Linked DNA regions of Oryzias latipes. Each later gene encodes a partner of the first gene's protein in a complex. Links are inferred from orthologs where the notes say so. Each region holds a gene or a part of one and is shown in the gene's direction. Other genes may lie near its edges. The genes, in order: ctnnd1, cadherin-like protein 26 and ctnna1.

What was found.
Region 2: ctnnd1 (region 1) and cadherin-like protein 26 share a complex: the UniProt entries of both Homo sapiens proteins name them as parts of the cadherin:catenin adhesion complex. The link is inferred for Oryzias latipes from reciprocal best matches to the Homo sapiens genes CTNND1 and CDH26.
Region 3: ctnnd1 (region 1) and ctnna1 share a complex: the UniProt entries of both Homo sapiens proteins name them as parts of the cadherin:catenin adhesion complex. The link is inferred for Oryzias latipes from reciprocal best matches to the Homo sapiens genes CTNND1 and CTNNA1.

The regions. Positions count from the first base shown.
Region 1 is NC_019868.2:14,176,680-14,180,779, forward strand, and holds the start of ctnnd1 (catenin delta-1), read left to right. Parts: upstream 1-1,209; 5' UTR 1,210-1,353; exon of another isoform or gene 1,354-1,418; 5' UTR 1,419-1,496; intron 1,497-4,100. UniProt on the Homo sapiens protein: Key regulator of cell-cell adhesion that associates with and regulates the cell adhesion properties of both C-, E- and N-cadherins, being critical for their surface stability.
Region 2 is NC_019865.2:18,096,625-18,100,815, forward strand, and holds the start of cadherin-like protein 26, read left to right. Parts: upstream 1-1,348; 5' UTR 1,349-1,458; intron 1,459-1,561; coding exon 1,562-1,714; intron 1,715-1,805; coding exon 1,806-1,953; intron 1,954-2,093; coding exon 2,094-2,263; intron 2,264-2,336; coding exon 2,337-2,465; intron 2,466-2,553; coding exon 2,554-2,739; intron 2,740-2,848; coding exon 2,849-3,120; intron 3,121-3,205; coding exon 3,206-3,351; intron 3,352-3,434; coding exon 3,435-3,659; intron 3,660-3,738; coding exon 3,739-3,957; intron 3,958-4,191. UniProt on the Homo sapiens protein: Cadherins are calcium-dependent cell adhesion proteins. They preferentially interact with themselves in a homophilic manner in connecting cells; cadherins may thus contribute to the sorting of heterogeneous cell types.
Region 3 is NC_019868.2:19,904,491-19,908,141, forward strand, and holds part of ctnna1 (catenin alpha-1), read left to right. Parts: coding exon 1-160; intron 161-3,651. UniProt on the Homo sapiens protein: Associates with the cytoplasmic domain of a variety of cadherins. The association of catenins to cadherins produces a complex which is linked to the actin filament network, and which seems to be of primary importance for cadherins cell-adhesion properties.

The DNA.
Region 1 (4,100 bases):
AGACAAGAAAAACAACTTTTTTTGTTTGTTTTATGATTTTATTTAGCAAATCCCTAGTGAAAGACTTAAGTCTGTTCTGTTTTAAAACATTAGAGCTATAATTTCAATTACTTAGAATCATTGTTAAGAATCCCACAACCAGCATAGCTTCTTTGCTATTATGGATATCAATTAAGTCTTTAAAAGGTCTTTGTCAGATTTGACAAACTAGACTTTAAAACTATAAGCTTAATTGTGATTTAAAGATTAAAAGAAAATCGTGAATTGGTTCTAAATACGTATTTTTGGGGTTGAACTTTCTTTAAAACTTAACTGACACGCCTGTGTTCGTTGAAAGTGAAGCTTGCAACACCACATTTGTAAACTGCTGCCGCACATTCTTGATGAAAAATCTGTGACGCAAAAATACTGTAAGTTGTTGCTCATCTTTTTGAGTTTTGGTAAAGTAAATCAGCTGGGGATGGGTTTATTAACACTTCTACTGAATGACAACTGCTTGAAAAACACAGATTCCTGATTCAAACATTAGGCTACAAAACTTAGCTGCAAATCTTTAAACTTTAGATAAAAGTAAAGCTTCCCGTATAAGATAGATTCATATTTTCTGAATGACTAAGTTTTTAAAAATTAAAAACCTAATTTATTTGTTTAAATACTATGAGGTTCCGTTTGTGCCCAAAATATTTTATTGTTTTAATCACCATATATTCCAAGTGAGCAGTATTGTTGATTATATTTATGCCTTCTTCCTATTACAAAAGCACTTCGGGGGGAGCTCATACGGAAGCTGGGGGGAATTCCTGGCATTGTTCCTCTTTCCATGTTTGTATGTCCACGCTGATGCCTTGTTTTTCAAGTTCACATTTCTTTTTCTTCGATTTTTACCCCAAAATCTTGAAAATGAAAAAAGACCTTCACAGCCAATTCTAGACTGACATGTTAAAAAAAAAAAAAAAGCAAAAACAGTGCTTGAGCAATAAATAATTTGCCAAAACAAGGTATGTTACATTTTTGGTAAGAAATATAAATGTTAAGAAAATGTGAAGGATCTGATTAACCTTATTTTGGGGGAATTCATTCATGTAAAAAAGCTGAAGTACTCCCACCCACGTGAGACTATCTATTGCCCCTTGGCCATTCTTATTGAGCAATCACAGACGTGACATCGTGAAGGGAGGGACACGCGGAAGGTGATATTGCGACATAATTTAAATCCCCGGCAGACTAGAGGTGTAGCTCAGTTTGTCCATTAAAACTATTTATACAAAAAATAAAAACTGCGCAAAAAGCAGAACTCTGTGGTGTCTGTAACCACCAACCTGCTGGTTTTTTGTGGGAGCGCAGTGCTTTACGGTAAAGCTGCTTGTTGATCCCACCCTCCCTTTGATAGAAACTCGGTGATATCTCACCTCTTTAAGCTAGGAGACGGGAAGAGGCAGAAAACACCTAAAACTGGGTAGTCTGAGTGAGGTCGGGTGCAGGATTTCCTCAACCAGGTGAGCCAATTCTTGGATTTTTACCGATGATTTGTCGCGCGCGTGGATTTTCTTTGAAGATTGCCGGGACACTCTGCAGTTCTAAGGAGTGGTCATGTATTCCGACAGATCAGCACGAATCTTTTATGCTAATAAAAGCTAGCGCACAAGTTCAGACCCTGATTTGTTCCTTCGTCACCAGCCGTGCTCATTCCAAATATTATTAGGCCTTTGACGCCATCGTGTATACCGAGAGAAAAAGGTCCACGTTGCCCTGAAAATGTCGCGTTTTTGAACCCTTCATTGCTGTTTGATCATCTGTGTTTGCTTTGCTAGCGCTAGCCCCGCTGTCGGGAGCGTTTTCGTGGTAGTTTTATTGTGATGCTAACGACTCGGGACAGTCAAACCAGGTCAGACGGAGCTAGCTTCCAGCCCAACTGGGTTGATTTGATCCATTTTAGCCGAGCTCTTGCGTTAGCACCACCACCGAGGAACTCTCTTGCGACAGCCTTTGTTCGAAATGAGCTCTTTTATATCAAAGGTTCATGTCTGGTGTGCGCTTGAACTTGTTTTTCTAGCTAACTTTCCTCGCGGCTGGTGACCTATATTCCCGTCTTCTGCCTACTAATCATTCACAAGGCTGTGTGGGATGCCGTTAGACGAAGGAAATGCTAACTAGTTGTAGCATTTTCCAAGCGGTGTTTGGGATACACGGACTGGTAAAATGACCTCACCCAGCAGCAGCTAGCTAGTCTCTGGGAGCGTTTCTATGTACTGGTACACGATTATTAAGTACGATAAGTACGTTTATTCTACTAATTTAGTGTTTCTTTTTTTCTCTTTTTTTAAATATATTTTTGGGTGTTTGCGCAGCCGACTTTACTTCAGTATTTGAAGTACATGTTTTGTGAAAAGTGTGCGGGTGCCTGTGTGTGTGTGTGTGTGTGTGTGTGTGTGTGTTTGTTGTATGTACGTAACATCCAGGCTCAATACTTTTGTGTATTTAATTCCACCGTCAGCGCGGTGGTCTCTCATTTGTGGTCTGCTAGTCTGGGATTATGGCTTTGTCAGACGGAACCTGTTGGGTGGGTCATGTGTAAACTTGTTTTGTTGGGAAAATGCTTGGGTGGGGACAACTGTCAGCTTCAGCCTGAACTAACAGACTGGCGTTTTCCTTCGTAAACACCGACTACACGCAGGCTTATAATTCCTCGCGTCGATAGGCCTTCCTTTGGCTTTAGTGGCGTCTGGTGGATGTTTAAAGAGGATGTGTTTGAACTATAGGTGTGACCGGTTCAGGTTTGTGGTGGAGGGGATCCTGGTAACACCACATGTCGGCTGTTCTGGAGGATCTGTGCTCTCTAGCCATTGTTTGGATGTTGACAAATGATCCCACCACCCACTGTAATTTGGTCTGCTTTTTCACACACTTCAGGTTTTTTAATAGACACACTTCAGGTTTTTTAATAGACTCAAACAAGTGGATGTAGGTCCATTTATTTCTATTTTTTTTTTATAAAGCATCCTTGTTAAAGACCCACACAATCATCTTTTGATCTATTGTAAAAGCATTCCCAGTGGTCTTTTAATTATGATTAATGCTTTTTTTAGCTAAAATCAAAAACCCTGTGTAATTTTCTATGACATAGTTTCTGCAGATCGGCAGGAGTTCATTCGAAATTCACCTCTGAGTTGTGGGCAGGATTGCCCACCTCCTGTCATCCACCTGTTTGCACTGTCTGCCGCTAGCTCACAGACCCAACCTAACATTACCGGTGCAGCAAAAATAGGGATCAATATTGGAGCTATCCAGCCGTACAGTTTTGAGACGGATGGCAGCTTGTATGAGGAAAACGAAGACATTCATGGATCTAGTCGTCTACGAGTGGATGCACCAGAATGGAGCAGAGCAGGGAGTTTGTTGCTTACCGTTGTAGGTGCTACATCACACCCATAAGCATGTTTTTTTCAATGGCATATTTTTGGTCTGCTCCGGATTCATCACGATTTGATAAAAAAAATACAAATAGTACGTGCAATTTTCCACTTAATTTTCTTTATATATGTCCTCTACAGGACAAAAATGCAACAAGAACATGTTCAAAACACCACAAACAGCACTTCCATTGGTGTGGATTTTTAAAATCTATTTTAAAGTGTTAGAAGGTAAATTAATTAGTGGGGTAAGTCCTCAGTACAACCAACACTCTGCTTTGGTATCAAATAATCTTAACATCAAACTACACTATTAACTAGCTGGAAATATGTGAATACCTGGCCAACATCGAACATGTTTTTTTCTGTCTGTCGCTCTGTTAGGCAGAGTTTAATTAAGCCTACAAAGGATTTATTGTTGGTTTGTTCTGATGATCAGAGTGAGTGAGTCATGCTGACTGATGGCTGCTGAATCAGATGGGCTTGTGATGTGACTTGTGGCGAGTCAGAGTTCAGTCAGATGTTGCTGACCGCAGAAGACTCGTCCCTTTGAACTGCCATTGGGTTTTGGAGTCTTTCACTGTGGGGGTTTTCTAATTATGTTACTTTTAAAATACACTGCCATTTTCTATTTATTGTTTTAAGAAACTGTTGCTTGTAGAATAGATTTGTTTGAACTGCTCAGCTTTA
Region 2 (4,191 bases), on another chromosome or scaffold:
GATTACCATATCAATGGCGAGCAATTAACATTACCCAGTGAAGGCCCTTAAGCAAGACCCTAAACGCTACTACCTCCCGAGCGCGGTTCCCTCTCCCAGGGGATGGGTCAAATGCGGAGAACAAATTTCCAGTATGATAAAATAAAAAGTAAAATAAGCTCAGACCATAAATGAATAAACCCCAGAGAAAAGATTCTGATAGGGGTAAAGGGACCAGACCACGTCTAAGCACAGTTCTTGGTGGAGAACAGAGTCAAAGTTGTTTCTAAAAGCAAAAGACAGTGTTGAAAAACAGACAGGAGCTCAGTAGAATTTCTCATACTGAGAGCTGAAAACAGACAGCAGTTCTGTGGATGCCTGTCTGACCTCCCATTTTATTTAGAATCGGTTGCCCTGGTTACAGAAAAAAATAATGAATCTAAGAGATGCAAGGTTAGTAGTTGACAATACACTTGTTTAAACTTCTTGCTGCAGAAATGGGAGTAGTAGGTCACAGTTTCTGAATCTTATCAGTTTGTATTCCAAACTCCTGCTTTTTCAGACGTCTCCTTCCTCCAGATGGTATGTGGAGAAGAAGAAAAATCCAGACACAGCAGCCTTTAATGTATAGGTCAACAGAGTTCAAAAAGCAGTCTTAAAAATCAGAAGTTAGAATGATAATTAATAAAATAAAGTGCATACATCCAACAGGAAGTAAACAACCAGTAATTAAAAGCAAAACTAGTTTTTGATTGCCTGCGAAGAAAAGTGAGCAACTAACCTTTGTGTTCAGATGAAAGCATAATGACGAGCAGCATGTAGAGTATCATAACAGCATCAAAGATTTCCCACAAATCAAGTAAATCTTCCTTATTTACACTGCACCAAAGCTTCAAGTCCATCAGTACGTTTTGTGTGACAAAACTGAACTTTTGGTCCTAGAACTGCAAAAGTCATTAAAAAACAAAGTTATGATCTTTCATATTTCTACATACTCTATGTGAAACTTAGTTTTTATGATGAACACAGAGATGAGATGCTGGAAATAGTATATGGGGTTTAGACTAATTAGATTACATTGAATAGCACCATGGGAAACACCTCTCACAGGACACTAGTGTACTGCGGCACACAGTTTTTTAAACTAACAACCAAGAAAACACTTAAGTGAAAGAATACCAGTCCTCACACTTTACCGTACTGTAAATGGTTTCTGCTATTTTAATAAAATTGATTTTTTTTTTCTACAGGTTTCATTTGCAGCTTTAGCTGGATGCCTTTGTTCCCGGGACTCTCGTAAAAAACGGGTAAAGTGGTAAAAAGTTTGAAAGGCAACCCCGAATGGAAAAAGTTTATAAACATTAATCTCCAATTTTCCCTTTCCAGGATCTCTTGGTGCGGACTAAAAGAGTATGGGTTCTGTCTACATTTGAACTTTACGAAGAACTGAATGTGACTTACCCTTACTTTCTTGCAAGGGTAAAACAAAGTCATCTAAAAAAATTTGCTTTATTAAATAAATATCAAGTTACTGATTAGTTATGTAAAAACCTTAATCAGACTTTGCGTATGTTTCTCTTAGATGTACAATAACAAGGTAGAAGGGAAAGAATTCAGGTTTGAGATAAGCGGAGAAGCAGTGGATCTGGGATATTTGACCATTAATGAAACATCTGGAGACGTTTATGTCAACAAACGTATTGACAGAGAGATAATAAATGTCCCCTTTTTCCATGTGAGTAAATATGATATAAGATATTTATTTGGATATGAAATCATTCAATGTAGCTCCAGAAAATTGATTACCCCTTTGTTTTTACCCAAAGGTCGTCTTTGATGTGTACGACACAGAGACCGCCCAAAAAATTGACAAGGAACTAGCGTTTAATGTGGTAATAAAGGACATCAATGACAATCCCCCAAAGTTTACCGAAATTCCTGAGGCTGTTACTGTGGATGAAAACCAAGAGGAAGGTGGGTTTACTTAAAAATATAGGACATTGTTGAAACCAAGTAGGCTACCAGCTTTATACCCAGCTGGGATATTTCTTTAAACCCATTGATAATTGTTTTTTCCTGAAATAATTTTGTTTTGCTTCTGTTTATTCTGTTAGGCTTACTGGAGGTGCAAGTGATTGCTCAAGACATGGATGAAAGAAATACAATAAATTCCAGATTTAACATCAGTGTGATTGCACAGCATCCACCAGAGCCTAAGATTCAGACCAAATGGATTGATGAAAGAATTGTGCATCTTAACTTTACTGGATGTTTTAACTATGAAGTAAAGCCAGTTTTTTATGTGTTTTTCTTTATACTTTGCTTCAGTTTCTTTAAAACTATTTTCTTTGTTCCAGAAAGAAAACAAGTACAGTGTTACTCTTCAAGCAAAGGATCATGGAGACCCTCCATTGTCCTCCACTGCTGAGATTACGATAAATATTGTTGACAGAAACACAAATATGCCAGTGTTCAAGGAGAGAGAGGTAAGAGGAGCTTATATTTAATAGTCATTGCTTTACTCTCTAAAGTCACTTTTAATGAAAAAAAATGTTTCAATTTTGCTTGTTTTAGTACCAAACTAAAGCCTCAGAAATGGAGACCCATGATGACCTTCTGAGATTGGCAGTAGAGGACAAAGACACTCCCAACACTGATGGATGGCGTGCAAAGTACTTCTTCATCAGCGGGAATGAGGAAGACATCTTTAAGCTTGAAACAGACCCAATAACAAATGAGGGTATTTTGAGCATCATTAAGGTAACTCCATTTGCTCTCAATAAATCTGAATGTTTTTAAAATGATTTACACAAATGATAAACACAAAAGGTTCATTTTTGATTATTCTTGATTTGTGTGTCTTTTGCAGGAAAAGAATTATGAAAAAAACAGTTGGGTCGACTTGCAGGTTGGGGTAGAAAACATTGAACCCTTTTCTAAGTGTGAAAACGGGAAATTGATTAAACAGGGAAGCAAACTTTATCCTCCAGACTCAGTCAGTGTCAAAGTTCTAATGGTTGATAGCAATGACCCACCAGAGTTTCAGAAAACTAAAGTAGATTTGTTTGAGAAAGAAGAGTCTGAACCAGGAAAGGTTCTCTTCACCCCAGAGGTTCATGATCCAGACTCTACTTCCTTCAGGTAAAGTGTCTGCATTCTGTCCAGAAACTGAACATCTTGCTTGTCTGCATAAAGTTTGAACACTAATTTATCCAACTGTTTCCAGGTTTGTACTTGTAGAAGATCCAGCTAACTGGGTTTCTGTTGATGAAAAAACTGGAGAAATTAGAGCAACTAAGAAGATGGACAGAGAATCACCCTTCGTGGATGCTGACAATGTTTACAAAGTCGTCATTGCTGCCATAGATGATGGTACTGAAACAAACTTGAAACAAAATCTAAAATCCTTTGTTTATCTGATTCTGTTTTTTTTTCTTGTTGTCATGGCTTTGAAGGTGATCCTCCAGCCTCAAGTTCTTGCACCATCAGTATCCACCTGAGGGACACCAATGACCACAAGCCACAGCTGGTCAACAACAGCATCATCATGTGTGGAAATATGAGCAATAAAATGATGCTTTCTGTGATTGACTTGGATGCTGATCCATATAGTGGACCATTTCATTTCTCACTTGATAATGATGACAATAAAAAGCAATGGAAACTAGATCCATATTATGGTATGTACACATCTGTTAATCCATATGACTAAACACGTGCATAAAACAGCAACATATCTGTCTTTGCATGTTTCACCAGGTCAGCAAGGTGGCCTTATCAACCTGAAACCACTTTCCTATGGAAACTATTCTATATCACTGGTGATTGAAGACCAGCAGAACAATATTGGACGTGAGACACTGGAAGTGGTTGTGTGTGACTGTGAGAATAATACATGTCATGTAAAAAAGGCACTTTCATTTCACCTTGGAGTACCTGCCATATACTCAATGATTGCTGGACTACTTTTGTTTTTAAGTGAGTACATATATCACCAAATATTTTAACTGTATCTGAGGATAAATCGTGAGAACTTATTAACATTTTACAATAAGACAGTAACATTTAGGCAAAAAATATCAATAATTAACTGCATAGAAAAAAAAAATAAAACAACATAAATGTTTTAGTTAAAGTGCACTAGGAAATAAAGAAATGTATCTGTTAGCAGAGCAATGACTAAACTGAGTAATTTTTACTTTATTTTGCCTT
Region 3 (3,651 bases), about 5.7 Mb from region 1:
TCTAACAAGAAGAAGGGGCGCTCTAAAAAGGCTCATGTTTTGGCTGCTTCAGTGGAGACTGCAACTCAGAACTTCCTTGAGAAAGGAGAGAAGATTGCAAAGGAAAGCCAGTTCCTCAAGGATGAGCTGACGGCTGCAGTGGAGGATGTCCGTAAGCAAGGTATATTAAAAAAGACGCATTGCTGCAGTGTGCGGTTTCTGTTTTGTTTAGAGCGCTTCTGTAAATGGAATAGATAATTAATAAGTCATGGTCTGTGTACTTATCATTTTCCCCAGTGCAAAACTTTGAAATAAGGGTATTTATTGGACAAAATCAACTCCTAATTTATTAATATCCATTTCTGCTTTGAGGTTTTTATGAAGAGCATTTAATGACTTTTCATTAATACATGCAGACATTTAGTAACTTGCCCCTAAACTAACAGTTATGTAAAACGAGAGTGTTATACACACAAAATGTGACTGCATTTGCTAATTCTAGTGTGGGACTAAAGCTTGTATATATTTCAGAGGTTTCTCAGTTAGATTTAACTTTTACTACAATTGAAAGATTTGTCCCACCAATCCTCGCTAAGTTAGTAATGCATAAACAATTTTTGTGGCAGATGTGATGCTTAAAGACCCACTCCAATGAAAATCGTGTTTTTTAAAATGTTCTTGCAGACTTTTTCTCATAAAGGAGGATATATAAAAATAACATTAAGATTAAAACAGCATTTCTGAGGATTTCTTTACTCAAATTGTCAATCGTTGCAAGGTTGGGTTTGTGAGGGGCTGTAAACAAGTGGGAGAGAATGTAAGCAAAAGCAATGGGAGATTGGGAAATGAACGCAGGGTTACTCAGCGTCAACAGTCCTGGCCACAACTGACTGTTGTGGCCAGTTTCTAGGAAATGACACAGGATTTTTTTGGGGGGGCTAAAAACGTCACTATCATAATTAAAAGATCAATGGGAACTCTGTTACAAGATATCAAAAGATGATTGGAATGGTTCTTCAACCTATCCCTGTTACAATCCTCAGAGATTGAAGCAACACTTTGTGAACTGAGAAAAATTTTTAATAGCTTGCTTTTTTTAAGTGAGTCAACCCACTTAGTCTGTTTCTGTTCAGTTTTATTACACATTTATAAAGCTAATAGTCCAACATGGTCAGCAGCACAATTGCAGTCATTCCATCATCTCACAACCAGAAAATATTCTAATTTATTCCTTTTCCCACCCTGCAGTTGCTGTGTTTTGACATGTAAGCAGGGTTGAGGCCCAGAAGCCATGACTTGGGTGGTTTTGATGGCTGTGTCACTATCATTTCTATTTCCTGCTGATTTTTTTTTTTTTTACTGAGTTAGAAATCTTCTACTGTGAATAGTTTTTAGTCTGCTGATGTCTAGTAAGTTAGATATCCTCCACTCTAGATAGTTGGGAGGAAGCAGACGTGTTGCTACATAGCATGTGGCTTGTTCAGTGACCAGGTATGTTAATGTAGTTGTGATAAGCTGTCACTGTGTTGGAATTCAGTGACTGTTAGCTAGTGCCTAGGCCTGGCTGTCAACTATGCCATGCTGCTCAGTGGAGCATGATGAGACTTAAAATACAGCCATCGACTTTGGTAACGTTCCCACTCCCACCATTGCATGGAGCTATGGCTTACAGACTTTTTAAAATGGGAAGAAAAGATATTTCACATAAATCAGATGACTGTTTATTGTATATATATTTTTTAAAATCTCTCTATTAGCAGATTTTCTATTTCGTGGTTGTTTCAACAATTTACCATGTTTATAAATGCTGCTTAGTGAAGCTGAGAAATTTCCATGCCTTTAAGCAGCCATTTCTGCTTACCCATGTCCTTGCTGACCCTCGCCTTGCCCTTCCTCTCTGTCTCTACCTTGTCAAATCTTCTGTAAGGTTATTTGTGTCATATACATTTTAATCATTTTATCATGCACACTTTGGGCTGCATCGCTCAGGGAGCGATGGATAGATGAAAGTTTATTAAAGGCGTACTGATCGCTATCTGCCCTCATGAGAATGGCCTTATTGATTTTCTTCATGGGGGGAATAACAGCCTCGGGGTAGTGTGTCTGTGGTACATATTCTTCATCATTTGCACAAACTGTTGTAGCTTTGGCTTGTAAAATACCTCAATGTGCAATCATTGCCTGTTTTAATATTTTTTTTTAACTTCAACAATGCTTAGCAATGGCGTGAGCAAACAAACTGGTATTTGATATTTTAATAAGATTGTATTTGACACAAAAATAAAAAAAATCTTTGTTAATTGTTCTAACCACACACCACTTAAATACCTAAGGAAAGATGTTAGTTCCTGTACTTTCATAATTTTACCCATGTTCAGTGGACGGATTATTGTAACCTAATAGTGGAATTGCAGTTTCCCATAGCTTAGACTCTATAGATGCACTGCAAACAGACAATTGAAGGAGGAAAAGTGAATACTTGTGAAGCACCTTGACATATCTGGGACTGTGGCTGTCTGGGAGATGACGTCTTCTTACTTTTAACTCCAACTGCTTTTACAGAAACTAAGTGTAGGTTGTTTTTCGCTTGTCGTATTTAGGATGTTGCACAGGTTTATTAATCAATCTAATCCAAGCTTTGTTTTCTTCTTGACTTAAGAAAACTGTACGGTAGTTAAGAATATCTTATCAAATGGAAGATATATACATTATTCTCCATAGAGACATTCTAAGGATTGTAGCAACCACACAGAAAAAAAACCCTCAAAGCTTTTTATAAAACACTTAAAAAATTATCGGATACGGTCTACAAACCTCACTTCCACAAAACAGTTCTGACCCAGATGGTACAAAGTCTGGTGCTACAAGTAAAGCAGAGCATTGTCCACACCCACCTGCTCCTGATTAGCAAACTGCAGTGGGTTCAATACAAACAGAATCTGCAGTCTGAGTAGAAGAACTCATTTTCAATGGTTTTCATAAAACCTGCTACTGGTCAGTTTAAAATAGTATAGTTATTTTCTATACTGACAAACATTTTTGTCAACATCCTTTGAATAAGCTTGTTTAGACTGTTGCTGCTGTGCTGGTCTTACCTTTGTTTTGCCGGAGAATCATTGTTTTTTATTCAGTCTAAGATTGAGCATGCTTGGTGGCTCTGCTTCAGGTGGTATTTCCAGTTTTAGAAGGAACATGTCTTCTGCACAATTTGCAGTGCGCGTTACTACCAGCCAAACATATTTATTTACCGGCCAAATTATTGTAACTCTATTTTACACAGAAATGCCAGTAAAATTATTTAAGAAAATGCACAAAAGTAATTGTCATCTAACTGTGAACTCAAAATCAGAGAAATTCACGATAGATTTCCTAATTCTGCCTCCAGGTGATCACATTTTATATTAAGTCATATAAAAAAAACTAAAAATAATCAAATGTTTATAATTATTGCTATACATCATTGACATTAAAGCTGCAGCTCTCACAAAGAAGGGGAGCAAGAGGATTCAGCACATTTTGTTACACTGCTTTGTAATTCTACAAAGACGCTGCTAAAACACACGGGATTTAATTCTGTTATTGTTTAGAGAATTCCGTTTTTATTAATGTCCTTTTGAATTGATTATTTTTTTTATCTACCACGTCTTAAAGGCCAGTCAGTAAAAATACTTT